Linked DNA regions of Lepisosteus oculatus. The protein of the gene in region 4 interacts with the protein of the main gene of each other region in a biochemical or structural test. Links are inferred from orthologs where the notes say so. Each region holds a gene or a part of one and is shown on either strand. Other genes may lie near its edges.

What was found.
Region 1: of the proteins of M-phase inducer phosphatase 1-B (region 4) and plk3, one has a biochemical effect on the other in vitro, tested with the Homo sapiens proteins (2 studies listed by BioGRID, with this or other methods). The link is inferred for Lepisosteus oculatus from reciprocal best matches to the Homo sapiens genes CDC25C and PLK3.
Region 2: of the proteins of M-phase inducer phosphatase 1-B (region 4) and chek1, one has a biochemical effect on the other in vitro, tested with the Homo sapiens proteins (16 studies listed by BioGRID and IntAct, with this or other methods). The link is inferred for Lepisosteus oculatus from reciprocal best matches to the Homo sapiens genes CDC25C and CHEK1.
Region 3: of the proteins of M-phase inducer phosphatase 1-B (region 4) and chek2, one has a biochemical effect on the other in vitro, tested with the Homo sapiens proteins (14 studies listed by BioGRID). The link is inferred for Lepisosteus oculatus from reciprocal best matches to the Homo sapiens genes CDC25C and CHEK2.

What each region holds. Positions count from the first base shown.
Region 1 is NC_090704.1:6,013,656-6,020,681, forward strand, and holds the start of plk3 (serine/threonine-protein kinase PLK3), read right to left. Parts: upstream 3,004-7,026; 5' UTR 2,910-3,003; coding exon 2,703-2,909; intron 1,457-2,702; coding exon 1,349-1,456; intron 1,133-1,348; coding exon 1,016-1,132; intron 926-1,015; coding exon 796-925; intron 511-795; coding exon 423-510; intron 308-422; coding exon 212-307; intron 1-211. UniProt on the Homo sapiens protein: Serine/threonine-protein kinase involved in cell cycle regulation, response to stress and Golgi disassembly. Polo-like kinases act by binding and phosphorylating proteins that are already phosphorylated on a specific motif recognized by the POLO box domains.
Region 2 is NC_090718.1:15,711,247-15,719,220, forward strand, and holds the start of chek1 (serine/threonine-protein kinase Chk1), read left to right. Parts: upstream 1-4,973; 5' UTR 4,974-5,040; exon of another isoform or gene 5,041-5,407; 5' UTR 5,408-5,432; coding exon 5,433-5,497; intron 5,498-6,278; coding exon 6,279-6,502; intron 6,503-6,676; coding exon 6,677-6,741; intron 6,742-7,069; coding exon 7,070-7,139; intron 7,140-7,330; coding exon 7,331-7,519; intron 7,520-7,942; coding exon 7,943-7,974. Other genes in the region: prdm10 (PR domain zinc finger protein 10), read left to right, coding at 330-470, 1,029-1,212, 2,040-2,146, 2,788-2,985. UniProt on the Homo sapiens protein: Serine/threonine-protein kinase which is required for checkpoint-mediated cell cycle arrest and activation of DNA repair in response to the presence of DNA damage or unreplicated DNA.
Region 3 is NC_090717.1:5,419,925-5,426,745, reverse strand, and holds the start of chek2 (serine/threonine-protein kinase Chk2), read right to left. Parts: upstream 3,003-6,821; 5' UTR 2,904-3,002; exon of another isoform or gene 2,877-2,903; intron 2,869-2,876; exon of another isoform or gene 1,992-2,868; intron 1,978-1,991; exon of another isoform or gene 1,650-1,977; 5' UTR 1,626-1,649; coding exon 1,340-1,625; intron 989-1,339; coding exon 864-988; intron 625-863; coding exon 492-624; intron 123-491; coding exon 32-122; intron 1-31. Other genes in the region: iron-sulfur cluster co-chaperone protein HscB, read left to right, coding at 3,309-3,718, 4,288-4,384, 6,635-6,724. UniProt on the Homo sapiens protein: Serine/threonine-protein kinase which is required for checkpoint-mediated cell cycle arrest, activation of DNA repair and apoptosis in response to the presence of DNA double-strand breaks.
Region 4 is NC_090706.1:29,488,792-29,495,893, forward strand, and holds the start of M-phase inducer phosphatase 1-B, read left to right. Parts: upstream 1-4,094; 5' UTR 4,095-4,320; coding exon 4,321-4,760; intron 4,761-4,836; coding exon 4,837-4,907; intron 4,908-5,000; coding exon 5,001-5,046; intron 5,047-5,518; coding exon 5,519-5,557; intron 5,558-6,060; coding exon 6,061-6,094; intron 6,095-6,828; coding exon 6,829-6,924; intron 6,925-7,102. Other genes in the region: slbp2 (stem-loop binding protein 2), read right to left, coding at 1-35, 427-507, 1,303-1,434, 1,721-1,767. UniProt on the Homo sapiens protein: Functions as a dosage-dependent inducer in mitotic control. Tyrosine protein phosphatase required for progression of the cell cycle. When phosphorylated, highly effective in activating G2 cells into prophase.

The DNA.
Region 1 (7,026 bases), on a different chromosome or scaffold from region 4:
GGTTCTTCAGCTCTCATTAACCACTCTTATTTTCCTATCACACTGCTGGCACGTTTCCCTCATTGCGACAAATACAAAGGTCACGCTAAAATGACATCATGATGTTTTGTGTTTTCTGGCAACAAACATTGTCATTATTTATTTTCACATGATTATCATATTGTTGGCATTTGACATACGACATATGGAAAAGGCATTTGATTCCACTCACATGACACAACCCAGTGACCAAACATCAGATTCTGGTCCATGCCCTTGCCTGTTCAGGACTTCAGGAGCCAAATAGTTTGGGGTACCACAAATAGTTCTGGAACAGTAAATAAGTTGGCATTAATGCAGTGCAGAGAAGACTAGAAGAACATGAAAAAAAATACTGATCAGCAGAAATTTGGAACTGAGTAAAAAAAACAAATCAAGCCTACTTTTTCCTCTGTTCCACTGGTTCAAGCTTGGCTGCCAATCCGAAATCTCCCAGTTTCAACTCCATGTTCTCATTGACGAAAAAGTTACCTAAAAGTACAAACCTCAATTAATTTCATGTACTTTGAGAGGGTTCTGTATCAAAAGATACTTTGCCCTTTCTGGGCAAAGATTTAAGAAGCCATTCTGAATTTGCTATTTAAACACAAGCAACTGTAGGCTAAAAAAAAATATTTCCTTTTTCCTCTTTAAAAAAAAAAGTATCTACCCAGAGGACATTTTTGTGTTGAGAACTAGGTCTCATGACAACAGTTCCCCAGAGCATTCCAAAGCTGTGAACATCTCGCAATAAAAGCAGTGCTTCATTGTGCACACCTAGTTTGAGGTCTCTGTGAAGAATCCCTTTGTTGTGGAGGTATTTCAGTCCTGATATAATCTGCTTGAGGTAGTATCTCACTTCGGGATCTGTCAATGTGTGCCGTGCCTTCCATATGTGCGCCAGAGACTGCAAAGGAAATGGAAAACGCCCGTCAGTTTGAATGATTACTCACTACCGGCATTCTGAATCACCGGAGAGCCAAAGCCAACAGCTTACCTTTCTACTGCAAAGCTCTAGGAATATGTAGATGTTTTCTTGGTCTTCAAAATGATGAGAGAACTTCACTATGTGTTTGTGATGAAGCGTTTTGTGCAGCTCAATCTCATTCGTTATCTGGAAGGCGATTAAAAAGACGAGTTACAGCAAAAGGTAGAACTCCCTCACCAGTTCCATAACAGACCAGCCTTTAACCCAACCTCTTCTGTACAGAAATTGTAAATACATTAAAGGGTGTATTGCTATTATAAGTAAATGAATAAAGAACAGCATTAGAAAAAAAATGTAGACGACTAGTTCATTCTCCAAAAAACAATACTCAAAATACGGTACCTTTTCTCTCTGGTGCGGTTTTGCCACTCTGCTTTGGGGTATTACTTTCACAGCATACACCTTGTTGTTGGCAATATCCGTCATTTCATAGCAGCGTGCAAATCCGCCCTAGAAATACATTTAGGATGTAATCAATAAAAGCGCACCAAAGTAAACAATCTACTCCTGCCGAGTCCCACATACAAAAGGAAAGAAGCACAGAATTCGTTGTCACCATTCATATGTCACAGGTCCGTCTCTTCAGAAATTCCGAATTTTAAATCCACGCCGGACGACCCTCTTTTAAACACAGCCTCACATCTTAAATGTGGATGGTTGAGGTCTATTAACAGCCAAGGGCGCTTCTACATTGTATGCACCACTTCCAGGACAATAGGGGAAAAAACCCTCTTCACCCCTGGCATACGGACAGTAAGCTATGGACTTTCCTCTTCTAGTGTAAATGTAATATTTATGAGGGAACACAAAATCAAAAACGTGACAAAGATGAGGCACAAAGATCTTTCTTCCTCCCATTTCTACATATTTAAGGAATGTTGTAATCAGGTGTTATGCACCCCCCATGCTGGTTAATGACACTGCATCAAACGCCTCAGGGCGATAGTACTAGAAAGGCTCTAATCAAAAACAGGGAAGCCAGCGACCATTACCCTATTCAACGTGGCATAAATTTGATCTCTCCATCTGGACTCGAAACGTTAAAATACTTTTAAAGGATTTATTTGGAGGAAAGTCACATTCGTATACATGGAAACAATACCCATGAAGATTAAAAAGTCTCCAGAAGAACGAGATTAATTTTAACTAAGTACCCCTAACGCAAAAGCTTAACCTCATGCACAACTGCGTGAACAACAATTCTTCCCAGCCAGCACCGACTTCTAATCAATAAACCCAAATCTTTCACATTCAGAGACGTAAAACCCAATGAGTCACACAGCTAGAGACAAACTGAAAGGAAAGAGCGCTTATGCAGTCACAAGCTGTGCATCAGCAAAAGCAGTCTAACCCGCAATCTCTCACAGGCAGTCAATGGAAAAATAAAAAGCTTATGTTTAGCCAGCCACTTAAAAACCATTATAATATTTAAGAGGAGAGGGAAGGAAAGAAAAAAAGCCTTCAATACCATACCATTAAAACCGACAGAGCGCTAACGTGGCTCAATAAACATTTTAAAAATATTTTCGCTCAAAAAAAAAAAACTATCAATTGGTAGACCTCCAACCCCTTCAAAACAAACTGTTCAATGAAATAGTCTCCCGCAAATTTCACAAATCCCTCAGAAAAAATGAGTATTCATCGACAGCGGTGCCACATGACAACAGCAGCGCCTCGACGTGATTGCAGTATATACCTTTCCCAGCAGTTTTCCTTTGCAGTAACATCTCCCCGTCTTGGAATCGTTCACGACATGAGCCAGTTCCGATCGGGACTGTTCCAATTTGCCTCGGTTCGGTTTCGCCGGGTGAGCAGCAGCCCGTTCAGGACTAGCTTTAAATAAGTCCGGATTCATGATCTGGCAAGCGAGGCGCTGAGAGCTGGAGAAGCACGTTGATTCCATTCATTAACGCCCCAAACACACCGCCAATATATTTCCTCTGTTAAATGGTAACAGCCTCCTCTTTCCTCTCCTCCAGCCTCAGCAGTACATGCCCTAACAGGGAATCCCTGAACCATTTATTCAAGGTCTTTGTCACGTTGTATCAATGGGCGGGCAGCGAGGCGGAGTTACATTTTAAAGACGCAAAGCCTATTCGAAGTTGTTTAGTCCTAACCGTACTTTCAAGATGCCTGAGTAGATCAGTGTTAACAGGTAATCCACGAAAACCCTTTGATACATAGTAATATATAGTTATATATTTGTATGTGGGATATTCATAGTAAACTTTTAATTTTTTAAAAATAGCTTCAAGTCACTTAGATCCTAAATAAAAATGAGATACTTCTGAATAAAATACCACTGAAACACTATATACTTGGAGATTCTAGGATTATTTGGGAAGCCAAAGAAAACCCTTTGGATCCACGGGATAATTTAATCATCATCATCATCATCATCATCATCATCATCATCATCATCATCATCATCATGATCATCATCATCAATATTAAAACAGTTAGCTACTTTGGTACTCATGTAGCATGAATGATTTGTGCACATGTCCTTAGCGCTAGGCTAAATTGTGTACAGAATTCACAGTTTATTGAATGTCCACTACTTGTTAACCAAAGATAGTATAACTTACCCCGCCTTTAGGACCTGTTACATGTTACAGGGTAACCGGCTCAAAATAGAGTCAAAGATGCAGAGCAAAATCAATAGATTTACCATCTTTGAGAGACCATTTGAGTGCCAGAGACGGACTGGCGATTCATCACGCTGAGTAAAGAAAGCCCTGACATATCCACTAACGAGGGCATTCAGATCTTTGGCATCAAATGCTATTGTTCACAAAAGAATGGCTTCCGACTGCGTTCAAGACTAATCATGTGAAAAGCACACTGTCTTTAAATTAGGATTAGTCAAAGCGATTGCAATGGATGACCCTAAATCAATGTCAAAGATAAACTCAATAAAAATAATCAATGGTAAGAATACCCAGCTAATCTTTTCATTTTTAATCCGCTGTCAACGTATAATTGCGTTATGTTAGTCTGCAGAACTGTTCATCAATTTTCCTTAGAGATTCACTGCCCCCTGTCTTCACACACGGATATATTAATAAACCGAAATACTTGTACTTTTATAATGTCAATGAGAGTGCGGCAAAGGGGCAGATTTTGGAAAGTTAAAAAATAACAATTTAAAGCGCACTTTCATAAACATGGTTTTCATGTTTTGTAGTATTTAGGCATACTTCTAAATTTTCTTTAGAAACCCACCTATCATCTAGAAATCTTTTTTTTATTGTATTGCATGCAACACTTTGAAAGAGGAACAATACAATTCACGTTAAGTGGCAGTGAAAATGTACTTACAATGTCTTTCCCTTTAACACTCTTATGTATACAGACCACCGACAGCATGAAGAGAAAATTAAAATACTGCTGGATGCCACCTTGAGTCAGACAATGGTTTTAAATGTTTTCTCAGTTAATTAGAAAAGTCAGTACCTTCCAGTCAGTATCTAGGCTTCCAGTATCAAGAATAGGACTGGCAGAATTGTTTCCATATCTCTGGCATGAGCTAATCAAAACGAAACATGGTGTTTTCCCCTCTGGACCACAATCTCCAAACCAGTACTCCAACAGACACGGGACTCTGTTTTATAGGAAGTGCTGTCCTTGGGATGAAATGTTAAACTGGGGTCCAGACTGCTTGGTCATTTAAGATCCCATGGTATTGGAAGACTAAAATTATTATTATTATTATTATAGTTAACTCTAGACTCTGTCCTGGCTAAATTCTACTCTGGGTTTATACAATCTGGCCTACCTAAAGTTCCCCTTAATGCAACGGGAGCCCTTGATCTGCTGTGTATTCAGGCTGCTGGTGCTTAATATCTGTGAAAGTGCTTCAGTGGTAGAAGTACAATGCTCAATGATACAAAAGCAGCATTTCTCTCACCTAAGATTTGAACCTCAACCTTCTAGTTACAAGTCCAGAACCCTGACTGCTGCTCCACACTGCTGTTCCAGTTAATTTTTTGAGGAAAGTGTTGAGCTGGAGCCCGTCTTAGGAAGGACAGCCTGCAAGGCAAAACTGGGAGCACATGACTGCCCTCAAATTCAACCCAGTGCCATGGGGAAAGGGAAAATTTAGAATAGACAACTAGACCTGGCTAGAAGAAACCAGGGCATCCAGAGAAATACCACACTCCAGATAGATACCCAATGTCAGAGTGTAGGACCATGGAATATTGTTTCAATGAAATCATTAATACATTTTAAATCAATATATTTTCAACAAACAAGGATTACAGCACTGCACAGTTACGTCTGGTAAACAAACAAGGCACAGGGACAGAGTACAAAGTTGAACAAGTTTAAAATGGTGTAATGAAGAAACAAGTGGTCCTCAGGTGGAAGTAATTTTAATCAGACTATAAATGCAATAAAATACTGCACAGAAATACAAGAGCAAAAGTACATCAGTTCAGATATTTTGTACTTTCTGTCTGTAACAGTATTCAAGCAACACATTTTCACAATTGCGATTCATAACACATCTTGTGTGGTTTTCAGAAGACTGTCGGGGGTAGTAATGAAAGGTTCAGTAGACGTTTTGCAGGAACACTGCAGGATAGATGTTGGCAAAATTAGGTACCAGCCTAAACCCAGTGAAATAGAAAAAGATCAATGGATATATCCTATCTAGATCTTTGGAAGAAGAAAATACAGAAAAAAATAATGAAACCTGTCATCTGCTTTATTATTTCCAACACAGCTGAAATAATGGATGAGATTTTAATTTAGAAGACAATTATCAACATTTCTGTCTTGTCTTTGATTGATCTGGTCAGTATTCCTTAATTTTAAAATGTTATTGAATTGACTAATCTATTGAATCTCATTTTTACTTATGGGATCCACAAACTTCACTCGGGAGACTCTTGAGAACAATGCGCATTCATATTAGAAATATAAGTTGTTGAGTTCTGTGGTGCTCGGAGAATTACTGTAGTTCTCATACCCTCTACTCTTGTGAAGCAGTAGTGTTCTCACAGCCATACAATAGTCTGGGGAGCCCTCTGGTGGACATTGGTTACAGTACAGTGAACATGCTGCAAGAACCTAACGGGTATGAATGTTATAAAAAGAAAATATTGTACTTCTAGCAGGAACATTACAATTCTTTTAAAATGTATTATGTGTTTCATTCTAAGCATTTTGACAAGGTAACTTACTGGTTCATAGACGGTTTCTGTTTCTAATTTAAAAAATGAGGAGCAGTTGCATAAGTTTGAAGACAAGTTTGAAACCAACATTACACAATACTGTAAATTAATGTAGAAAACATTATTTGAATAATGGCTCTTAAACGTAAAGATGCACTATTCATTATTAAACCCCCTTTTAATTTATTATTGGTTATCTATATTATGCATTTTTAAAATCTATAACTTATGTAACTTTATTCTGTACCTTTTAATTTTGTGATTTTTGTTTTTATCTCCACCTGGTGAGCTCGCACAAAAGACATTTCATTGCCAGCAATTACTGCTGCACGATGTATTGTTGTGCATTTGATAAATAAACTTTGATTGTTTGAGATATATCTTATACATAGTTCTGAGTTGGAGCATAGCTACAGCCATAGTATTGTACATAGAGATGTGATAGAGACAACCCTACAGAACACCCGAGAAAGCTCAGTTTTCCACTGAGGGTGCCTTTGTGGTACAGTGGAGTTCAGTTGCTAAAGGATACTGCGTATCTTGCAGCTGGGACTAGGCCTAACACACAGCACTCAAACCCTGGATAGGGATGAACTATACCAATCTCATGAGTGGAAAACACACAGTTTGGCCCCAGTTCTACAAACTGCAAAATCAACACTGGTTTCCTTTCAGACACTATCCGAAAAAAAAAATACATCAAACAAGTTTGATTTTATTTTATTTTATGTTTTTTTTGAATAATAGGCACATAGTTCACCCTTTCCCTGCATATTCCAGCTGTTACTCTGCGCAAATGTAATGATGATAGGCTAAGAATTTTTCAAATTTTCTTTAAAA
Region 2 (7,974 bases), on a different chromosome or scaffold from region 4:
CCGGGGTGTTTCTCGAGAAGAGTAGGGGTGTTACCCCAGTGTCCTGGTCAAATCTCCTCCTGGCCTTTACCCATCATGGCCTCCTAATAAGCCCTGTCTCTGAACTGGCCTCATCGCTCTGCTCTCCTCCCCACTGAGAGCTGGGAGAGGGCTGGAGCATCATCCAGCTGGGGCTGCACACTGGTGGGGGTGGAGGGGATCCCCATGACCTGTAAAGGGCTTTGAGTGGAGGTCCAGAGAAGCGCTATAGATGTATAAGGAGTTAACATGCCGCGCAGCCTGTTGGTAGTTTTCCTCTGAAGGTTTGCACCCTGTCTTCCCCCCCCCAGGCGTCCTCTCCGCACACCTCCCAGCATTCCACGGTGGACGTCAGCCAGCTGCACGAGCCCCACGGCTACACGCAGCACTCCATCCAGGTGCAGCACATCCAGCTGGCCGAGCCGGCCGGCTCCGCGCAGGGCTCCGCGCAGGTAACCGGCCCGGGCGGGGCCAGGGGGAAACTCGCACCTTCCCGCTGGGATTCGGGTCCTCTTGCGAGAGGGGTGCCTCGTGGGTGTGCCCCTTCTGTGTCTTTTCAGGGCGGGAGGTTGGCTGGTCTTTCCGATGTCGTTCGTCCGCGATGCAGCTCGTGTGGTCTGGGAGTGCCGGGGCTTGGGTGCCGAACGTCGGCAGTGAACCCAGCCGGGAGAGACCAGTGTGGCCTCGCAGCAAGTGGAGAGAGCAGCGTTTTGTAATCTGAAGCCAGAGCAGGGCAGGTCATGTGCTGGGAACCGTTGTCATCGAAGTTTCTTTGCTGAAGATTCACTTATGGCTTTAAAGCATCTTCAGTTTGTGCTGCTCTTTTATCAGATGAGTACCGTGTCAACTGGGGCAGAAATTGGGACAAGAAACCCTTGATACAAAGAAATGTAAAGATGTTTGTGTGCATGATTAGAAAAGCTGTGGTTAAGGGTGTTCAAGGGAGCCAGGTCCTGTTCTCTTCAGGATTGGCCAGCTCGTCTAAAGACTCTTCTCCCTTTTATTCCCAGGTAGCTGGGCAGCCACTTAGCCCCTCCTCCCAGCAGGCGACGCAGGAGCTGAGCCCCTCCCAGTTACAGACCGTCACCCCGGTAACCCTGGCGCAGAGCCACACCCTGCAGACACCCTCGTCTCAGCAGCAGGGGGCAGTGCAGCACGCCTACCTGCCCAGCAACTGGAACTACAGGGGCTACTGTGAGTGACTGGGCTGGACATATTCGTGTTTCATACAGAGGCCCCCAGCCCTGGCCCTGGAGGGTGGGTGTGGTTGCCGGTATTTGCCTGTGGGTGATCACTCCCATCCCCTCCGCTGCTGTCGGGACCCAGAAACCCTGCAGGACCAGGACTGGAGACCCTGCTATAAGCACACGCATGTCATGTGCTCATACCATGCACTCCGTGTTTGTGTGCGGCAGTGCTCCAGAGTCCGGAATACCGTGTAGAGAGAGAATGGGGAGAGCAACACGCTGGTCATAGTTTTCACGACCCGAATGAGCCCTTTTTCACTGATCGGCCCCTGGGATTAGAAAATATCTCTGTGTTCCAGAATGGACAGCTGGCTCCGTTTTATGAAAAAGTGCTGAAATACCCTGCCTCTGTTTCCTAAGTGTAGTGGCAGTCTGTGTCTTTTTCGAAAGCTGTATGGCATCTTCGAGATCGTGACTTGTAGCTGGGGATGTCCTCCCCACCTGCTGAAGCACACTTTCTAGCATGAGTCCCTCTGTACCCCAGCTAGAGATCTTCTCGCAGTGAAGACGAGCCAACAGGATTGTCCTCGGGCTCGGTGTCGCTCCCAAACCTTCCCTGTAATTTGAAGAATGTAACTGGACTGAGAAACCGGAAAAGATCTTGGGCCGCCCTGTTGGTTTTCCCCAGTGCTGATGTACATCTTGTCATCTTTGACCGGTGCTGACCGTACTCGATACACATTGTGCTGTTGGTCGAGGGGGTGAAGAGAAGGTCGGTGTCATTCAAAGCCCTGTTCCAGGCTTTTTACATTCCTCTCTCGTTCTTCTGTCCAGCCTCGGAGATCCAGATGATGACTCTCCCCCACGCCCAGTACGTGATCGCCGAGACCGGGGCCCCAGTGAGCGCGGTGAACAGCGGTCAGGTCAAAACCATGTCCCAGGTCAGGAGGTTTCGGCCTGTTGACATCCGAGCGAGTCGGGGGGGGGGTGGTCTTCTGTGGAAGGTGTCCCTGTCACAGCGATGTCACTCGAACGTGCAGCAGGTTTCTTACAAGTCGGTGGCTCCGGAGGGTTTGTCAGGTATTTGGGTTGTGTCCCCCCGAGACGGCTGTTAAAATCGGAGGCCTCCTCCTTGCCCTTCTCCGACACGCTGGCCTGCGGAGAGCCCCGCAGCGCCTGAAGGAGGGTTGGCACCCAGTGGAGGAGCCCTGTCATCCTGTCCCCATCTCCAGGGGAGGGGATGACTAAAGAACCGGGGCTTGGTTAAAAAAAGCCTTCTGTCTGGCCTGGGGCACAGCGAGTGACCCCTAAACGGGCTGTCCTGCTGTGCAGCAACATCCTTCAGCCCTGAGCTTCCTGCTGTGGGCCTCGCCTCCCGCTCCTCGCTGACGCCTGTATCGCAGGCACTCCCTCTGCAGTGTGTGCAGCTCTCGGCGACAGCAGGGTACGGCAGCAGGCCTCGGTCCGGGGCGCCGGCAGCAGGGCGCTGGGAGTCCCGGTCACAGGCGCCAGGTGTCTGGACTGTGCGGCTCAGGCTTTTGCTTGAGACGGCTGTCTGACCCCCCCACCCCTCTTCCTGCAGACGCACTACGTGATTTCGGAGGGGCAGGCGGAGCTGGACCCCAAGCAGGCGGCCGTTCCCCAGAGCAGCGCCCCCGTGCACCCCGACCAGCTGGAGCCGCAGCAGCAGGCCGCCGCCCAGCAGCCCGCGGCGCAGTACATCATCACCACCACCACCAACGGCAGCGGCGCCAGCGAGGTCCACATCGCCAAGCCCTGACCCAGGGCGCAGGGCAGGAAGAACGGGACGCTGGGTTCCAGGGATAAAACGCATCCGTGCGGCTTTTTCTGTTGGAGGTTCGGTGTAATATATTAGAGCTTTTATTTTCTTAGAAGGTCAAGGTTGGACGTTTTCTGTGTCCGAGGGCTGCGGAGAGCCGGAGTGAAGATGTCGCTGCGGTAGACTCCCCCCTCCCTCCTCCTGCGCCCCGAGATGCCTCTCGCCTGCAGACACCCCCAGGAGCAGAGGGGGTGCGTTTTGCCCTGTTTCTGAGGGGCTCCCCGTGCAGGGTATGGAGAGGAGGAGCGCGTGTCCTGTCCGAGCCTCTGGGGCGCAGAGAGCGAGCGCCCTTGAGCTGCCCGGAGCCCCGCCTGCGGCCGGCGACCACCGGGGGGCTCTCGCTTGCAGACGGAGCGACCCTCTTCTCCATGGTGGTCTTCCCGCGGCGCGGCTCGTTCGGCTCTGTGGTCGCGCTGGGCGCCGTTGCCTAGCGATGGATTCTCATCTCGGAGACGGGACGCCCTGCAGGCCGCAAAAAGAGGATAACATGATTTTGTTTGTTTTTTTTTTCTTCTTGAAGACCTCCTAACCTGAAGGGACTTGTATAATGTAAAAAAAGAAGTTGTATTATTATGGGACAAACCCGGGACTTGTGTACAGTGAATTCCATTGTGGCTCTGGTAATAGTCGTCCTGTTGTGATCGGGGGAGGGGATGATTAAAGAGAGAAGGCTTTTTTAACTGAACCCTGGTGTCTGGCCTGTTCTCTGCCCTGGGGCACAGCGGGTGACCCTACAGCAGCTGTCCTGCTGTGCAGCACCATCCTTCAGCCTTCAGCTTCCTGCTGCTTGCTGGTGGTTCGTTGCCTGGGATACAGGCATTTCAGCTTTGTGTTCAGTTCCCCGCAGACGCGATGTAGTAAGTCTACAGGCTGACATGGTGCTTGCCATGTGGGAACCGACGGGACCCGCTGCGGTCCTGTTCCTGCCAGTCCTCAGCTGGGAGTCCTCTGTGAGCGGAGGCAGGCCGTGGCTGGAGAGGACTTCCCAACAGATCCCCCAGAGAGGGTCGGGGACACTGCTGCGGCCGGCGCCATCGTTCAGAGAGCCGTCAAACAGTCCTGCCTGCCTGGCCCCCATTGCCCCCATTGTTTTCATCACAATCAGGAGTTCAAGCACCGAGTTTGTTGGTACCTGTAAACTTCCTTGTAGATGGTCACGTGATTACCCGAAATCAAGGCGCTATATCTCGGAAACGAAAGCAGCACAAACGCTAATTACAGCAACACAAACCGTCGTTTGTGCTGTTCGACGGGCGGGTGGGAACCTTCATGGAGCAGGACAAGCAAACATGTCTGGGTCAGTACATCGCAGACTGCATAAGACTCGACTTCACCTGAGGATCTAACACAGGCGCCCACACCTGTGTCTTCAGGGGGCAGGTGTGCCCTCACGCTGTATTCTACACCAAGACTGGCCGGAAACACGAAGATACAAGGACTGTGAGCTCATCGCTTCATATTTGCGCATAAGACTCCTGTAAATACAAACACACGGCTAATGAGTTTATTAAAAAATGCAGATATAAGTTCGCTTCTGTTATGTGAAAATAAAAAACATGTTTCCAATATTGCCATGGTCCGCAGACGGGGTCACTGGAGGTCAAAGGCACCGTGCATGGTCACTTGATCACAGGAAAAACAAGGCGCTATATCTCGGGAATGGAAGCAGCACAAACGCAGCACTAACGAATGAGACCGGCCCGGTTTCCCTACGACATTATAGGGGGGCTGATTGACGTCACGACCCCGAAAAAACACATCTCGGAAACGTGTACTAGTGAACAAAGCGCTATTTCATTCGCTTTTGAAAACGCTGCGCTGTCACCCAACAGCAAGATGGCGGATTAGAGTCGTCCCGCTGACGTCATTCGCATGTCGCCCATCTCCCCTGCTGCCGACGTCAACAGGAAGTGCGTGAGCCCAGAGCGGAAGGAGCGTGGAGGAGATTTGAGACCGGAGCGCGCCAAAGCGCGGCCGTGCAGTTATTTCGGAGGGGTAAACTGATTTTAAAAAAATCCGAAATACGGGCAACGATCGCCTTGGTCTGCCGTGATGCGGACTGCTGCAGTCTGTCGAGAAGTTGGGTGCGAAGCGCAGCGCCTTTTCGATCCGAGTCAAAGGCGTTTCTAAAAGCTCCCTGCTGTGCGCCGCGGCCCGGACGGGCTCTTCAGCGTGTTCCAGGTGTCCCTGTGTCGGTTCTGGTTCCGAGAGGACCGGAGCCCGGGGCGGGTGTCGGTTCTGGTGAGGGTGCTGTCTTGCCGGAGCCGCAGTGGCCGGTGTGTCAGGGGTGCAGCTGTGTGTGATACCGCTGGCGCCTGTAGGTGCTCTGACTGTCTCTGCTCTCGTCTGGCCGGGCGAGCAGGTGTGTGTGTCCCTGAGCCCTGGACATGGCCGTGCCCTTCGTGCAGGACTGGGACGTGGTGCAGACGCTGGGAGAGGGGGCTTATGGAGAGTAAGTACCGCGCCCTGGCTCGCCGGGGGCCTGATGTGCCAGCAGTAACTGTGAACGCCTCAGGCCGGTGTCCATCGATGGTCCTGCAGGCTGTCGGACCTGCGGACTCACTGACACTGCAGGACTGGGGGACTTGTTTTCAGCCCACATTGGGATTTGAAATGTTTCTGTGTCCAGCCTGTGGTCAGTGAGCCTGTGTTCTCTGTACAGCCAGGTCTGCCTGTGTCCAGCCTGTGGTCAGTGAGCCTGTGTTCTCTGCATGGTCGGGTCTGCCTGTGCCCAGTTTCTGTGGCTGGGTGAAGCACTGTTGTCCAGTGTGTGTTGTGTGTGCGTGCGGGAGGCAGTGCTGTCCAGTGTGTGTTGTGTGTGCGTGCCGGAGGCAGTGCTGTCCAGTGTGTGTTGTGCGTGCGTGCCGGAGGCAGTGCTGTCCAGTGTGTGTTGTGCGTGCGTGCCGGAGGCTGTGCTGTCCAGTGTGTGTTGTGCGTGCGTGCCGGAGGCTGTGCTGTCCAGTGTGTGTTGTGCGTGCGTGCCGGAGGCAGTGCTGTCCAGTGTGTGTTGTGCGTGCGTGCCGGAGGCAGTGCTGTCCAGTGTGTGCTGTCCAGTGTGTGTTGTGCGTGCGTGCCGGAGGCAGTGCTGTCCAGTGTGTGCTGTCCAGTGTGTGTTGTGCGTGCTTCTCCTGATCTCCGACTGGCCTGGGCTGCAGGAGCAGCTGGCGGGGGGAGGGGGGCTCGTCTCGGGCTCAGCGGGGCGACTGGTCACCCGTGTGCTCTCTGGCCGCCAGGGTGCGTCTGCTGGTGAACAGGCAGACGGAGGAGGCGGTGGCGGTGAAGGTGGTGGACACCTCGCGGGCGGCCGACTGTGCGGACAACGTCAAGAAGGAGATCTGCATCCACAAGATGCTCAGCCACCGCAACATCGTGCGCTTCTACGGCCACCGGCGTGAGGGGGACACGCACTACATCTTCCTGGAGTACTGCAGCGGCGGCGAGCTCTTCGACCGCATCGGTGAGGCGCCCCTCCTGCTCCTCACCCTCCTCACCCTCCTCTCCCTCCTCTCCCTCCTCACTCTCCTCACTCTCCTCACTCTCCTCACTCTCCTCACTCTCCTCTCCCTCCTCACTCTCCTCACTCTCCTCTCCCTCCTCACTCTCCTCACCCTCCTCTCCCTCCCTCCCTCAGAGCCGGACGTGGGGATGCCGGAGAGAGATGCGCACAGGTTCTTCCAGCAGCTGGTTGCCGGCGTGGTGAGTCTGTCCTTCAGCGCCGCGCTGGTGGGGTGTCCCCGGCTGGGCTGTCTGGTCCGGGGGTCCCCCTTCTTCCTTTTGCCTTCGTTTGGGTGGGGGGGTCAGCGGCTCTTGTGTGCCGAGCCAGCGTGAGAGGCGTGCTGAGCGATCACAGCGATCCCAGCAGTCCTTGCAGCGATGGGGGCCGTGCTTGAGTGTCTCGGGGGCCGCAGGTTGAAGAGGGAGGTGCGTCTCGGGGGCCGCGGGGCGGAGAGGGAGGCGTCACTGTGGCTCGTGGACTCCAGTGCGCTGGGATAACTGTGTGTGTGTGTGTGTGTGCGCTCCACAGGAGTACCTCCATGGAATAGGAATCACTCACCGGGACATCAAGCCGGAGAACCTGCTGCTGGACGACAGAGGTGAGAGCTGGGCTGGGTCCTGACAGTGTACCGACCCCCTAATCCCCCCCTGTCCCCGGCCTGTCCCCGAGAGGCGTCCAGCCTCTGGTGTGGCTCCTGCTGGGCAGTGTACAGCCTGATTTGAAGGCTGTGAGTGGACGCGGGGCGTTTTGGTGACACTGAGATGGTTTCCTCCGTCCTCTTGGCCCCAGACCAGCTGAAGATCTCCGACCTCGGCCTGGCCACCATGTTCCGGCACCGCGGGCGGGAGCGGCTTCTGTCCCGGCTGTGCGGGACGCTGCCCTACGTGGCTCCCGAGCTGCTCTCGCGGGCGGACTTCCACGCGCAGCCCGGGGACGTCTGGGCCTGCGGCATCGTCCTGACCGCCATGCTGGCCGGGGGTGAGAGCGCGGGCCTGTGTCAGGTGCTGCCGTCAGGGGGACAGTGGAGTCGGGGGGTCCAGTGTGTGTGTGTCCCGGGGGGGGTCCAGTGTGTGTGTGTGTGTGTGTCCTGGGGGTCCAGTGTGTGTGTCCTGGGGGGGTCAGTGGGACAGTGGAGTCAGGGGTCAGTGTGTGTCAGGGGTGACTATGTGTGTCCCGGGGGGGTCAGTGTGTGTCAGGGGTGACTATGTGTGTCCCAGGGGGGGTCCGGTGTGTGTGTCCAGGGGGGGTCAGTGTGTGTCAGGGGTGACTATGTGTGTCCCAGGGGGGGTCCGGTGTGTGTGTGTCCCGGGGGGTCAGTGGGACGGCGGAGGCTCGTCTCCCCCGGTGGCACTGCAGTGCTGCCCTCTCAGTCTGACGCGCCCCGTCGCTGTGCCGCCGCAGAGCTCCCGTGGGACCAGCCCAGCGAGACCTGC
Region 3 (6,821 bases), on a different chromosome or scaffold from region 4:
AGGCAACACACTTAACGACTGCTCCACTTACGATCCAATTTTTCTTGATATCAAGTATTTGTCCTTGAATTCCTTTGGGAGGTTTGACTGTTCATCAACGGTGAGGTCAATAAACACAAAAACTATAGAGAAAAAAGTAAAATATTTCATTTTAGGTACTGGGAAGTAAGAAAAAGAGTAAGACTAATGTAACATATCACCAGCTTCCCTTATACAAAATATATTTAATTAAACATTACAGGATACCTTTGGGATTCCTACAAAAAGCTATGCATGGATATGAGAACTTTAGAAATGACATAGATTATAAAGCAACAGTCTCTAGAATGGGTTAAATACGTCAGAAGAAGGAATCCTGAGCTACATGGGCAGTACAATTTAATGCAAGTTAGTTCACACACTGATGTGTAGATGTCTTAAAAACTCCTTTTCAAACACCCCACCAAAAAACAAACAAACTTAGTAACAAAAATTACACAGAAAAATTCTACCTTTGTTCTGGGGGACAGAAAGCGCCAGTTCAGCATTATTTGCCAGTGGTAACTTTTTGCCCTGTCCCATATACTGTCCGTCAAGATAGGTCCCATTCCCACTGTGGTCTTCAATATACGGAATTCCGCTTTCCTGCACAGAGAAAAGTTGGAGTGGGGAAGGGAGGGGAAGGAGGTGTTAAAAATGTGTCAGTTTCCTACAAAACTGTGACCCAATTAATCACAGCATCAGACAACTATTTCATGAATTATTTCATAATTGTCTCATAAAGAGACATATTGGGATAACAAAAGCATTAAATCTTCAAAAGGAATTGTTCCGAGTGGATACCGGAACAGTTGACCAAGGACGATAACAGAAGTACCTCCTACCCTGAATATCCTGAAGTGCTTCTTACTGTAACTTGCGTACTTTTCTGACTTTCTGATTAAGGCATTATTAAAACTGTAGTCACATCGTCTGTCTCTCCCAAACCAGTATTCATCCTTTATGCAGTCTGAAAGAAAAAGGCCAGGTTTGCCACGTTTAACATTAAACAATTAATGTTCGCAACTGCTTAAGATCACAACACACAACACAAAGAAATAATTAGTAAATCTTTCTTTATACTTCAAAGTGGCCATTTTACAATATCAGTACAAACTTTCACCTGAACACACCACTTAATAAAATGTTCGAGAACACTGAAGAAATGAACTATTTAGGTAAAGTGGCGCATTCACTTTCAGATTCATAATCAGGAGATATAACTTCTTTCTACAAGCTTCCGAAAGCCAGCGATGGCTAAATGGCACAGAACTGTCCTTTGGGACCTAGTCCAGACAGGCAGGAGAGAGCGAGCCCTCACTGTGCATTGCGAAGCCCTTCTCCATGGGCAGCAGGCGGCCCCAGGGCTGTGGGGGGGGCTCCTCCGGGTCTTCGGCCTCCTCAGGAATGGACGAGAGGTCCCGCACGGGGATGGTGTCGACGGAGCTCAGCGTGCCTGAGCCCGAAGACGAGGACGACTGGCTGGAAGACTGAGGCGCCGACGAAGAACTGGAGCTGCTCTGGGACTGGGACTGGGATTGAGACTGGGACTGGGATTGAGACTGGGACTGAGGCTGGGTGTCACTGGGGCCAGGCTCCTCAGACATGGTTAAGCTCCCTGGTTACCTTTACTGAAAGCATCAAGCACAACAGAGGCACCAGAACAGTAGTTAGTGGTCTAGCTTTCCTCTGCACACCCTTGTTTTTCCTTCAGCACAAAGCTGCTTCCTGTTGTTAACCTCTGATGCTACTTCTCATGTGGAAACAAAATCATGATTCTGCTTCCTGGCTCAGAAGAACTGGTATGTTTTTATGTTTATAGATGCAAACACAACACGTGTACCCAGGTAAGGCCAAACACTTTGACAACCACGGGCAAAACTGCATATGCTTTCGTGAACATGAGCAAATGGGGTTGGATAATCAAGCACATCAATAATGGTTGAATTTAAAATGGTAAGAAAATCACCTACCTTGGACAGGGTACTTTCGCACGTTTATGATAAAATCCCTGAGAGACAGTGGATTTTTCTTGTTTTTGAACTTTTAATAAATTATCTTGTCATGAATGTAACTTCCAATTCAAATTAACGCTGCACTTAAACACTAAACATAAAAAAAATCACAGTATTAAAAAACATAAAACGCTATATCCGAGGTGCCTTCTTCAAAGCATTCGGCACAATGCTAGTGCAGATTCCTACAAATCGGTGCAGTTCTGCACAACTTCCCGGTCTCTGGCGGCCGCTCTCTGATGTCCCGCACCCATTTAGCACATATCTGCAAATTCTCCGCAGCAAAAGAGTGGTTGTGGCCGCGCACGGTAATGCAAAGATCAAGAGTGGCTTGTAACAAAATGTTATTGTACATCTACAGTATATAGTCCTTTCATCCACAAAATCTTGAATTGCCCGAGGTAAAAACTAAATAAAGTGTTTTCATTAAAAGTTGTCATTCGTTTTGGTGGGGGTCATTATTTTTAAAAAAAATATTTCTGGCAAAGTGCCTGGCATCCCATAGTCTGTAGTCCTTGCATTACAAGGAAGCAAACTTGCACCCGTCCGCAATAACAATAACAAGAGAGCCGCCTTCTTCCCGGTGCCACATGGTAACATAGGCCGAAATAATTAAGGAAACACGTCTAAGATATGAGACACATTTCTTAACACGACTAAAGAAATCAGAAACTGTAGCTAAATCTATGCAATGAGCTCAGATGACGTACACATTAAAAGAAAAAGTAAAAAAACTGCGCCCATGACTCCCGGTCAATAAAACTAATACAGTAGCGTAAACTTAAAGAAAATACAGAAGCATGCTGTTTTCATTTTGCATGATTCATACGAGTTAGGTCATACCTGAGTTCAACAAAATCAGCTACTCACATGCCCAAAATTCCCCGATTATTCCTCAATCACAGGTAGTACATTCAACAACGCCGAAACGTTTTACAAAATCAACCAATTACAGAAGCCAACCAATCGGGGAAACTCTGGGGCAGACTGGGAAATGTAGTTCAGCCTCTGCCTTGAGACCTAATTTGGGAAATATGTGACTTAAACTTGAGGTTCGCTGACTTCCATAATATTAAACGAACCCACAAATTTAAACTAATGCATGTAAATACCATAGTATTAATACTGCATATTTACTTTTAAACAATTTTATGTTTTATATATCCAACCGGAAATAATTCTGATGCTTCCTGTTGTCTTCCCTACCCACCTCCTCCTCTTACGAGAGGTGAAGGCAGTACCGGCATGCATGGATATTGACTTAAAGGAAAAACAATGCTGATATTAAACAGGTTACGATTTGCCAGCTCACTCCGTAGAGTTTGTGGCCTAGGGCTCTATGTTGGAAATGATCAGTCTGTCTTAAAACATCTACCTTCCACGTCTGGCTGTGAAGCTTTCGTAACGGTGTTCACCTTGAATGGCTCGGGCAGCCGCCGTTCTTCTGGAGTCTGTTCAAAAACATTGCATTTTTTGGAGCACTTCAAATCAAATCAGTTCCCAGCCACTTCGCTCTTGAAACGTCGATGCGGTATGATTTCCAGGACTTTTTGCACGGTTTTGAAAAAACTACACTGTTGGAAATGCGAGGCACGACTGCAGACGCCTCCTGCGTTCTTCTGCCCGGCTTGCCTTGTCATCCAGCCACTTGATGAAAACATCAACTTCTTCGACATCATGGACTGGTGAGAAGGAATCTGGTCTGTCTGGCACTCTAAGTAGTTTGTCCACTTGAGCAGTTTCGATCTCAGGTGTCTGCGTTGGCTGACTGAAATTGTTTTCAGCGAGATCCCTCTGATATGCTAAAGTTACACATGGTTTTGTAACCTTAATGGGTTGCCATATATTTATTAAACGTTAACTGCATAAAACAGCTTTGCATTTCTTAAAACGTTTTAATTCTTAGAGAGGTCTTATAAATATTGCTATTAAGAATCCTAGTTCAGGTGGGTAACTGCGTCAGCATGCGCAGGCTGCAAAGGAACAAGTAATAGGTTTATTCCATGCTGAAAAGAGAAGAGAGACAACACAACGTTTTGGCTGTGGAGCCTTCTTCACGTGTGAGGCTCCGTGGCCGAAACGTTGTGTTGTCTTTCTTCTCTTTTCAGCATGGAATAAACTAATAATACTTGTTCCATTAAGAATCCTGTACATGCTAGTTGACTTTTTACATCTGCAGCATTTATTGCTCGACTATCATCAGATGTTGGTGTTAGTGCACCTGGTGTTAATAAACCTTTATGCACTGTTTTAGTGAAATATCCTTTGCTTTGGATGTTCGGAAGTTACAGAAAAGGTACATGCATCTTCAGCGTTCTCTTCACCCTGATAATTTCAGCCAGAAAACGCAGGTAAGCAATGCTTCCAGGTGTATGGCACGATTTCTGCAATTAGTTCTTAAACGGGCAAAACGTTGTTGTGTCACTGTGTAGACTTGTACTTCCACTGTCCACAGCTTGTTTCTGTTCAGCATCTGTACAAGTCCAATGAATAGAATCAAAACCCAGTGAACTATGGACTGGTGTTTTTTTTTGTCAATCAAATATAATTTTGCATTTCTGGTATAGTCTGTAAGTGAAGGTTCACCAGCCTCCATAGCGTGCGTGCACCTGCCAACTCTAATGTCTCCAGACATTTAAAAAAATAATCGTGTAGGCATACTCATGCAATGTTCAAACTACAAAAAAGTCAGTCTCGAATAGCAGTGGAATTACATGGCAGAAATGGCAGGAGTAACACTTAACTCCTGCAAATAGACTGAGTGTATCTGAGTACTTTGTAGTCTGGTCTGAGGATTTTGGAATTTCACATTGCAATGCAGTAGTGTTGGATATGGAGACTATTCATGTCTAAAAATAAAGACTTTGCTTTAAAAATAAATGGCTTGTCTGATTCCATTTAACTTAAGTGATATGATGTGAAATGTGTTTGGCTTGCAGAAGAGTCTATTTGATACAATATGGTGCATATTAAAGACAAGGACCATCAGTGCTGGGGATTAGCATGGTAGGGTATTAAACTTTCTCCCAAAGCACTTTCTGTTACTCTGCACCACTTTTAAAGAATTATCAGGAAAAAGTGAAAATTTGGCTTGTAATGCTATTTCAAGCCCCCAGGAAAATCTGCCTGCTGCTGATTGTTAACCATATTTAACCATATGGAGCGGCACTGACTAATTAATGCTTTTGGATATTGAGGTCCTAGGAGCAGACTGACTCTGGAGATGATCCAGTCTACAGATCAGTTTTAAATGAGGGGCTTGACTGACTGTTGGTGTTTTGTGTAGCATGATGTATGGCTGTAACATAGAAATCGGCCACTTTTAATTCTCATTGATTCCCATTGGCTGCATAAGCCTGGTATGCCCCTCTGTTGCTGAGCCCTTTTACCTTCAACTTGTCTTCCAAACATGAGATGGTTTTTCAGTTATTTCCTTTTACATGTTTCATACACACCAGCTTCTGTTGTTGGATTCAAGACATTCAACTATTCCAAGCATGACAAGACCTTTAAAAAATCAAATTTTCTTACACTCAGGACCTGGTAAGTGTAAAATTAGCCTATTCAGATGCATTCATAAAATGGCAAGCAGATCTGAATGCCAAGGTTTGGCTGTAGGTTTACAAAAGTACTGCATAATCCCACATTGACGTTAATGTAGTTGTTTCATAACTGGACTGAGTTGCATCTAAACAGTAGGCAATACACATGTACAGATCTGGTCCCCAATGTTGTGTTAATTTGTTTGAATATAATAGACCTTTTTTTTTTTTAACGCTCAAGGCACTTTGAAGCACTGCTTAGGTAATCATAACTTTTTTTGCACCTAATTTCATGTTATTATTTATGATGTAATTGATAAATGACCAGCTGTGTTGTAGCTTTTACCACGGATCAGCATAAAGCGGTTTACAGCTGCTTCTGTAATACTTTGTATACTTATTGTGAAGGTTTTGAAAATTTGGTCCAGGAAAATAGTAGCTTGCTATGGTACCTTTGTCTAAATAGTTTATTGATCTCCAGTATTAGCTTCAACAACATGGCTTGGTACCAAACCTCCACAAAAATTTGTGTAAAAAGCCTCTCCTGTTTTCAGCCATAAATATACTTTTTCATGAGCAGCTTGTAGTTGTGCCCTTTTGTACTTATTTTACTCTTGAGCATAAAGTAATCTTCTGGGCTGACCTTGTCAGCACCTTTCAGGTTTGTGAATACGTTTTTCATGCTTGGCCTCAAGACTGAAGCTGTTTAGTCCCAGATATATGTGGACCTTCTGTTTTTTCTACATTATTTTTTTAATGAAAATGAGAGGCATTTCATATAAAGAGTTATCAAGTGCTTTTTAACCTTTGGTACGTTCAAGCACATTCTGCCTGTCAGAACTAGTAACTTTCCTTTCACAAATAATTTATTATATCACATCATCAGATCATGTTAAGTATGCTACATTGAACACTGACGGAAAGGGAAAAAAATTACTTTTGGGGAAAATAAAGTCTTATGATTGCCCTGTGAGATTTCTGGAACATGTGCTGTAATAAATAGCATGCAGGGTCTTTATTGATTACTTCCTGGAAGTTATTTTGTGATGTCTCTTACAGCAGGAGCAGGAATACTCTGAAAGTCAGTCTGCCCTGGTTAACAGAGCATACAGGACTTTACTTAAGCCTCTCAGTCGTGGGCTTTATATGGTAAGTATCAGTCCTGTCAAATTAGCAGTGACAATGATACAGTACATAGATAAGTTCAAAATATTGCCATTACTTTTTGCATACAGTGAGAGAACTG
Region 4 (7,102 bases):
ACAGCCTCAGGATACAGCGCTCCAGAATGGACGCTCTGCGGGGACGGAGACAGCAGGTTGTGACCCGGGCGGGACATCCCGCTGGGGGGCTCTGCTCAGCTCCTGGCCTGACACACACACACACACACACACACACACACCACACACACCAGGGCACCCCAACAGCTGCGCTGCTCTCAGACTGAGAAGACCCCACTGCTCAGGTGCTAACAGGTCACTTCAACTCCAGGGACTCCAGGGGGCGCTGTGTTCAGCTGGGAGCGCCCCCTCTCTGCAGGGCGCCTCGTTTCCCCCGCCTCGCACCCCGCACGAACCTACACATCCTCCGCCCCGATCGCACCCCCGACTGCCAACGCCACGCCTCAGGACAGGGGTAGCCCCAAGTCCAGACCGGCACGGGCGCCCCCTGCTGGCGAGACGGCATACCTGTGAGGTTTGTGGGGGACGCCCCCCTGGTCAGACTCTCCGGTCATCCTGCACTGGGGCTGCGCCGCCTCCGAGGAGCTGCTACAGGGAGCAACAGAGAATGAGGGACCTCAGTAGTGCCCCACGCCCCCCCTTTTCTCACACAGCAGGCAGAGGGCTAGGCAGAGCCACACAGACACTCGAGGACACCCCAAGCGCCTGTCCGCAGCTGCCTCGGAGAAAAACACTCCGAGCTGGGAGAGGCTGCTTGTGAGACCGGGAGAGATGTAGGGTTGACACATCGTGGTCACTGGGGTCATCTGCCGGACACTGAGGAAGCGAGGAAACAGGCCAGCAGAGAGAGGACGCAGGGTCAACAGCGCAGGATCTAAACCAAGTCGAACCCTGTCGAAACTGCGTCACACTCCAGCAAGACCTCAATGAGAGCTGAGGACGGTTCTGGTCACCAGGTTATTTCAGCGCCACACTCTCGAAGACAAGATGCTCCGGAGACGAGTAACGACTTCCTTTCACAGGCTCGGAGGCCTGTCCTGCAGCGACTGGGTCCAGCGACAGATTCCGTAGTCTTAAACAGAAGACCGCAGACCTGAATCAAGCACCCCCAAATCCTGAAAGACTCCGACAGTCAACCAGGGGGACTTCAGAACCAGAGAAGCAAACCAGAGAACACCAGTGGAAGCTACAGGGAAGAGCATGTAGCACTGAGAAGTGGAGGCACTTTACACAGAGGGTGGTGGGAGTGTGGAACAAGCTGATACCCTGGATTCTTACAAGCTTATTTAGCTTTTGGCCTCTAATAAGCTTTTGGAGTTAGATCTTCCTCCTGAGCCCGAGTCTGTGCAGAGAAGTGCCCAGGAGTGGGTCAGCGCCCCTCACCTCACCAGCCTGTTGTACACGGAGCTGCAGCCCGGGAGCAGCCAGGGCTCTGGCATGCAGGTCTGGGGCAGCGGGTCCCAACAGGCCAGGTCCAGGTCTAGGGCACCGGGCCAGGCCGGTACCGGCCACAGCCTGCAGGAGGAAGCGCAGGGGAGACAGTTAGACGGCAGTGCCTTGCCGACACAGGGACCGGCGGAACGGGCGGAGACAACGCCACCTCTCCCCCGGGCACTTCCGGGGGGAGGGCTCGCGGGCCGTGACGCAGACGGAGCGGGCGCGCGCTGTCCCGAGAACACGCCCCGGGACAGACCGCAGCTCGTCCGCGCGCCGGCCCGCCCGCCCGCGCCTCCAGAAACCGGATCGGGAATCAACTCGTCACTCGGCGCAAGAAACGCGTGCACACGCAAGCGCTCCAGACCTGTGGTCCGGCGGGCTTGGCGAAGCGGGGTGAAAGCTGCTGGTCATGCTGTTCGGGGCTATAGTAACAGCCAAACTGATCTGCCGCCGCCTGGGGGCTTAAATACCCGCCAGGTGACCGGGGGCGGGGCTCCGCGCGGGTGGACACAGGAAGCAGGGCTGGACTTCCGCTTTGGCGACACTCAGTCCAACCAATAAAAACTGAGAGTCTGAGCTCGAATTTGTGCGGGTTGTTTTATTAACAAGAGCCGCTAGGAAAATGAAGAGTTTCTTTAATAGTGTTTTATAATTAGCATATTTATACGAAGCAAGAGGAGATATGTCACTGAACTGTATCAGAAATTAAATAAGATGTAAGGAATGTTTCATTTAGCCGGGTGAGTTTAGTAAACGTGTTGACAAAGTCCGGTTTTTGGCTTTCACGGAAGCACAGTTGGTTTATATCGGGGTTTATAAGTATATCAACATATCTTCTATTAGTTAACCTTCTCCGGGGCAGTTTAAATCAAATTTAATCTGGCTTTGTGGTTAAGAGCTCGGCTCATAGAGCAGACTCACGCAAAAAAAAAATGCCGTCACTTTTCATCAGGCTCCAGCTGACGTTAGAGTTTTCGGAGAGAATTAAAGTTTTGAGATCGCCATTTACAGATTGCTGATCATTTTTATTTGAAAGATGTCTTATCTGCAGACAGAGTATACTCTACACTGACTACCTTAAGCCCATGCACTGTTTGTACTGCTCGTACATATAGCATGTCAATATTGAGCACTGGCCATGTAGCTTCTGTTCCCTGTAGCTATGTACTCTGATCAAAGCTTTTTTTTCCAGTGGGATTTCCTGATGTAGTAGGTGCTCTGGACTATCCTCATTACACCCCCCCCACAGGGCCAAACAAGGCTGCTTTTATTAGAAGAAAAACAATTCACAGTGTTGATGTACAAGTAAAAAAAATAAAATTCCAGACTCAGAAATATAAATATATTGATCACAAAAAGACAATCCTGTCAGTCAGTTCCATTGAAAGACATCTCTAAACGTGTGACTGCAGTGGGTGTTAGCTAGTCTTAGGAGCTCATCATGCAGTTTCCTGAGTATCAGGTGATCTGTGATGCATGATGTACATGACTCTCACATTTTCAGACGGTCCACGCTGTAGCTATAAATCTGAGCAAAGGTATTGAACACACACAACCATTGATCTTAAGTACAGTTTGTTGTGAAGCAATTTGTTTCATTAATCTACATTTCAGCACCACCTTACTGACCCAAATCGACCCTGATCCGGGTCCGAGAGACCAGGCCCACTTCAATGAGGCTGTTGCAAGGCCAGTAGCCCAGGCTGAGGTGCCCCTGGAGCTCCTGCAGTCAGAGCTCATGGTGTTGCTGGGGTGGGGGATCCCCAGACGGGGCGTGTGACATCACTGCTGCAGGTGCTGTGCTGCTCAACACTGCCCCCCAGGGGAGGGAGACAGTCCCTCCCCTACCCCCCCGTACCCCGATGGTCAACAGGGCGGCAGAGCTGGGAGACACATCACAGCTCAACAACATTCTAGTGAAAACAAAGGTTTTTAAGATATATTTTTTTCTCATTCCATTTAGGTTGTTTTTTCCCCACCCCCAATTATAATTGGGTCGCATTTTTATCTTAAGACTTTCTGCAACTTGGGGGGGAAACAGACTCAACTGTAAGCCCCCCCCCGAAGATGTTGGAAAAGACAGTGTCGCAGAAAAGGAATCCATTCTTTGTTGTGCTGATGACGGTTCCTCCTCGTCCAGTCCTACTCTGCACACACCTCCTCTCTTGGCTAAAATCACGCAACAGGTTCACTGCAGTTCACGCTGCAGTTTTCAGGACCGCTGTGGGTGATACCCTTGCATTTTGTCCTGACCTGCTGTTAAAAGTTTGAACCCACTTATCGAGTTAATTCAATAAAAATCACCCTTTGGTTGGAAACCACCCGTGGATCTGTCTCTGATTCATTGTTATTCCTACAGATAACAACGCGTGGGAGTCTGCAAAACACGAATTACATTTAGGCAGCATTTTTCTTGAAGGAGCTCTCTTTAAACTGACTCTTTATGTCGTTAAACGTACAGATATTCCGCGTGTTTTAACTACATAACACAAAAACCACGAACAAACATCACGGGCCGTATGATACTTCTCCAGCGTGGTTGAGCTTTCCGGCCAATAGCCTTCAGCGCCGTAGCTCTCCAGCCCCTCCTTCCTCGGGGCACGCTTTGATGGACAGCAGAATGGACCAGTAGACCTGCAGCGTCCGGAAACGCTGTCGTGAGCGTGCTTTGACTCACGTTTCGCGGACGTCGTGCTGCGGAGCGTGATCCGTGATTGGCGGATCGCAGCGCGTGAAATTTAAAATCCTGTGTTGGGGAGTTTGGGGGAATGTAATGGAGGGTTTTACAGGAAAGGAGGGATTGTTACGGAATCGCAAGCTTAAGATTAGTAGATAAGAAAATATAAATTTTCCATCAAGTATTAAGATGCATTTAAACATAATTTCGTTCATTTGTTAGCACGATGTCTGAAATGCACCGGGTTTTTTTTGCTATCAAGAGGAAAGGGGCAGCACTGAAGACCTATGTGTTGTAACTACAGCACCACTTTCTGCTCTGTATTAGCGTTCGCCTGGAGTTTTATTCCAACCGAGAGACGCAATCCGAGCGCAGGGCGCCGTGTGTCCTTATTCTTTCGCAGTCGGCGTGAGAGGGAGCGGGCGAGGGTCGCAGGCAGGCGCGAGACGCCCGGTTCCGGCTGCCGACGGTTCGAGAATCGCCTGCGCCGCGAGCAACGCAGCAGGAAAGCGGTCTCGGGGAAACACGCGCAGGAGAGGGACCCGAGCCCCGGCCGCAGCGCAGGGCGCCGCCGAGTCAGGATGAGCGAGGGCCTGTCCTTCCGCGCCGGCTGCCGGATGCTGCTCAGCCTGGCGAGAGAGGGGGAGGCCGGCTCCCCGGAGCGCCTGCTGTCCCCGGTATCCGAGCTCACGCACAGCCTCGGCAGCCTGAACGCCTTCCAGAGCGGGTGAGTGCAGGTCCGGCCTCCCCCGTCCCCCGTGCCCCGCGCCCCGGGCAATAACCTCCTCGCCCGTGTCTTTCAGAGACACCCCCCGGCGGTGTCTGGACCTGTCGGGCCTCAGCGACGGCGACGCCCCGATCCCGGCGCACAGCGGTCAGTCCGTCCTGTCCACCCGAGCCGAGCCGGCTGTCTCCCCGGCGCCTCCTGTCTCCGTCCTCATGTCTGTCTGCGTTTGTGTCTCCCCAGACCAGCTGCTTTCCCCCCGCGGTCCCCCAGACTCTCCGGCCCCGAGGTAACTCCTTCCAGTGTCTGCTGACCGCCGCCGAGTCTCTCTCTGGCCCCGCTGTCCACATCTGGCTCTCTCTCTCTGGCCCCGCTGTCCACATCTGGGTCTCTCTCTCTCTGGCCCCGCTGTCCACATCTGGGTCTCTCTCTCTCTGGCCCCGCTGTCCACATCTGGGTCTCTCTCTCTCTGGCCCCGCTGTCCACATCTGGGTCTCTCTCTCTCTGGCCCCGCTGTCCACATCTGGGTCTCTCTCTCTCTGGCCCCGCTGTCCACATCTGGGTCTCTCTCTCTCTGGCCCCGCTGTCCACATCTGGGTCTCTCTCTCTCTGGCCCCGCTGTCCACATCTGGGTCTCTCTCTCTCTGGCCCCGCTGTCCACATCTGGGTCTCTCTCTCTCTGGCCCCGCTGTCCACAGCCGGGTCTATCTGTACGTGATTGTAACTTTTTAATCCAGTTTTGCTTTCTTCTGTCTTCCCAGTTTCCCCCAGAAAGTGACCCCCGACTCGGAGAAAAACAAGTGAGTGTGTGGGGGCAGAGGGGAGGGGGCGGCAGTGGGGAGGAGGGGGTGAGATGGGATGGGCGGACATTACAGATCAAGTAAAAGCTGAAATGACAGGTTCGACAGAGAGAGCACTGATGGTCAGTAACATGCCGCATGGCCCACACTGGGCCCTAGACAGTATGGCTGATGTCCTTCTCCTGTTCCTTAAGTAGTGTCCGTGACTGTAGTAAACTGTGAAGCCGGGAGTGGATCAGGAGTCTCACTGACAGCCCTGCTGAGGCTCTGGAAGGCAGCGCCCGAGTCTCGCTCCGTCACGAGTATCCTTCTCAGCCCGGCCTCTGCCGGCGACTCTTCGCTCCGAACGGGGTCGTTAACGAGGCGTTCGGTTCCCTGCCGGGCCGTCGCTGTGGTTGCCCGGCTGGCCGCGTGCTTGGCCCGACGGGTCGGGTGGCCAAGCGGGTCTGTGGATGACCGGTCGTCTGCTCGGCCTCATGCCTGCTGTTCTCTCTCTCTTCCAGGAAGGGCCATATGAAGCGCTTGAAGTCCATGCTGGTAAGAGATCAGCCCCCTCTCTAGGCCAGGGGTTCGGGTTCCTGCAGTCGGCTCCCTGAGTCACCTTGTCCCCGAGATCTGGGTCCTGGGCTGTGCTATTTCACTAAGAATTATAATGCTTAATAATTCCATACACTTATATAGCGCTTTCCTGGATACTGCACTCAGAGTGCTCTACAGGTAAGGGGGATCCCCTGCACCACCACCAGTGTGCAGCCCCACCTGGATGATGCTCCAGTGTGCTCACCACACACCAGCTCTCAGTGGGGAGGAGAACAGAGTGATGAAGCCAGCTCAGAGATGGGGATTATCAGGAGGCCATCATGGGTAAAGGCCAGGGGGGAATTTGGCCAGGATGCCGGGGTAACACCCCTACTCTTTTTCAGAAACGACTTGGGGTTTTTAATGACCACAGAGAGTCAAGACCTTGGTTTTACCTCTCGTCTGAAGGACAGTGCATTTTTTGCAGTATGTCCCTGTCACTATACTGGGGTGTTAGGACCCACATAGTCCAGTGGGTGAGTGCCCCCTGCTGGCCCCTCTCACACCTTTCCAGCAGCAACCTTAGCTTTCCCAGGAGGTCTCCCCTCCACACCTGCTGGGCTTCAGCGGGCTGCTAGTGTGAGCTGCGGGGTGATAAGTCTGCTGGCTATCTAACTGTCATCTGCTAATCGTGCCACCTGGATGAACGTGTGTCACTCCTGTTCACTGCTCTCTGTGTTTCTGTTTCTCAGCCCAGGTTGCTGTGCAGCAGCCCTAAGGTCGGCTCAGGCGGTCTCAGCCCCGGCGCGCGGGGCCCCAGCAGTCCCTGTTTCAACAACAAGGAGAATGTGAGTGCGGCCTTGTGTTTCTCTGGTTGTCCAGGAGAGTGTTCTGAGGTTCTCAATCTTGGGGAAAATGCAAATTGAAGCGCAGACTACACAGCACAACTGCATTGTTTCATCAGACCTAGGTAACTTAAGACGAACGTAAACACAAAAGTATAATTTTCTCATTATAATTATAGAA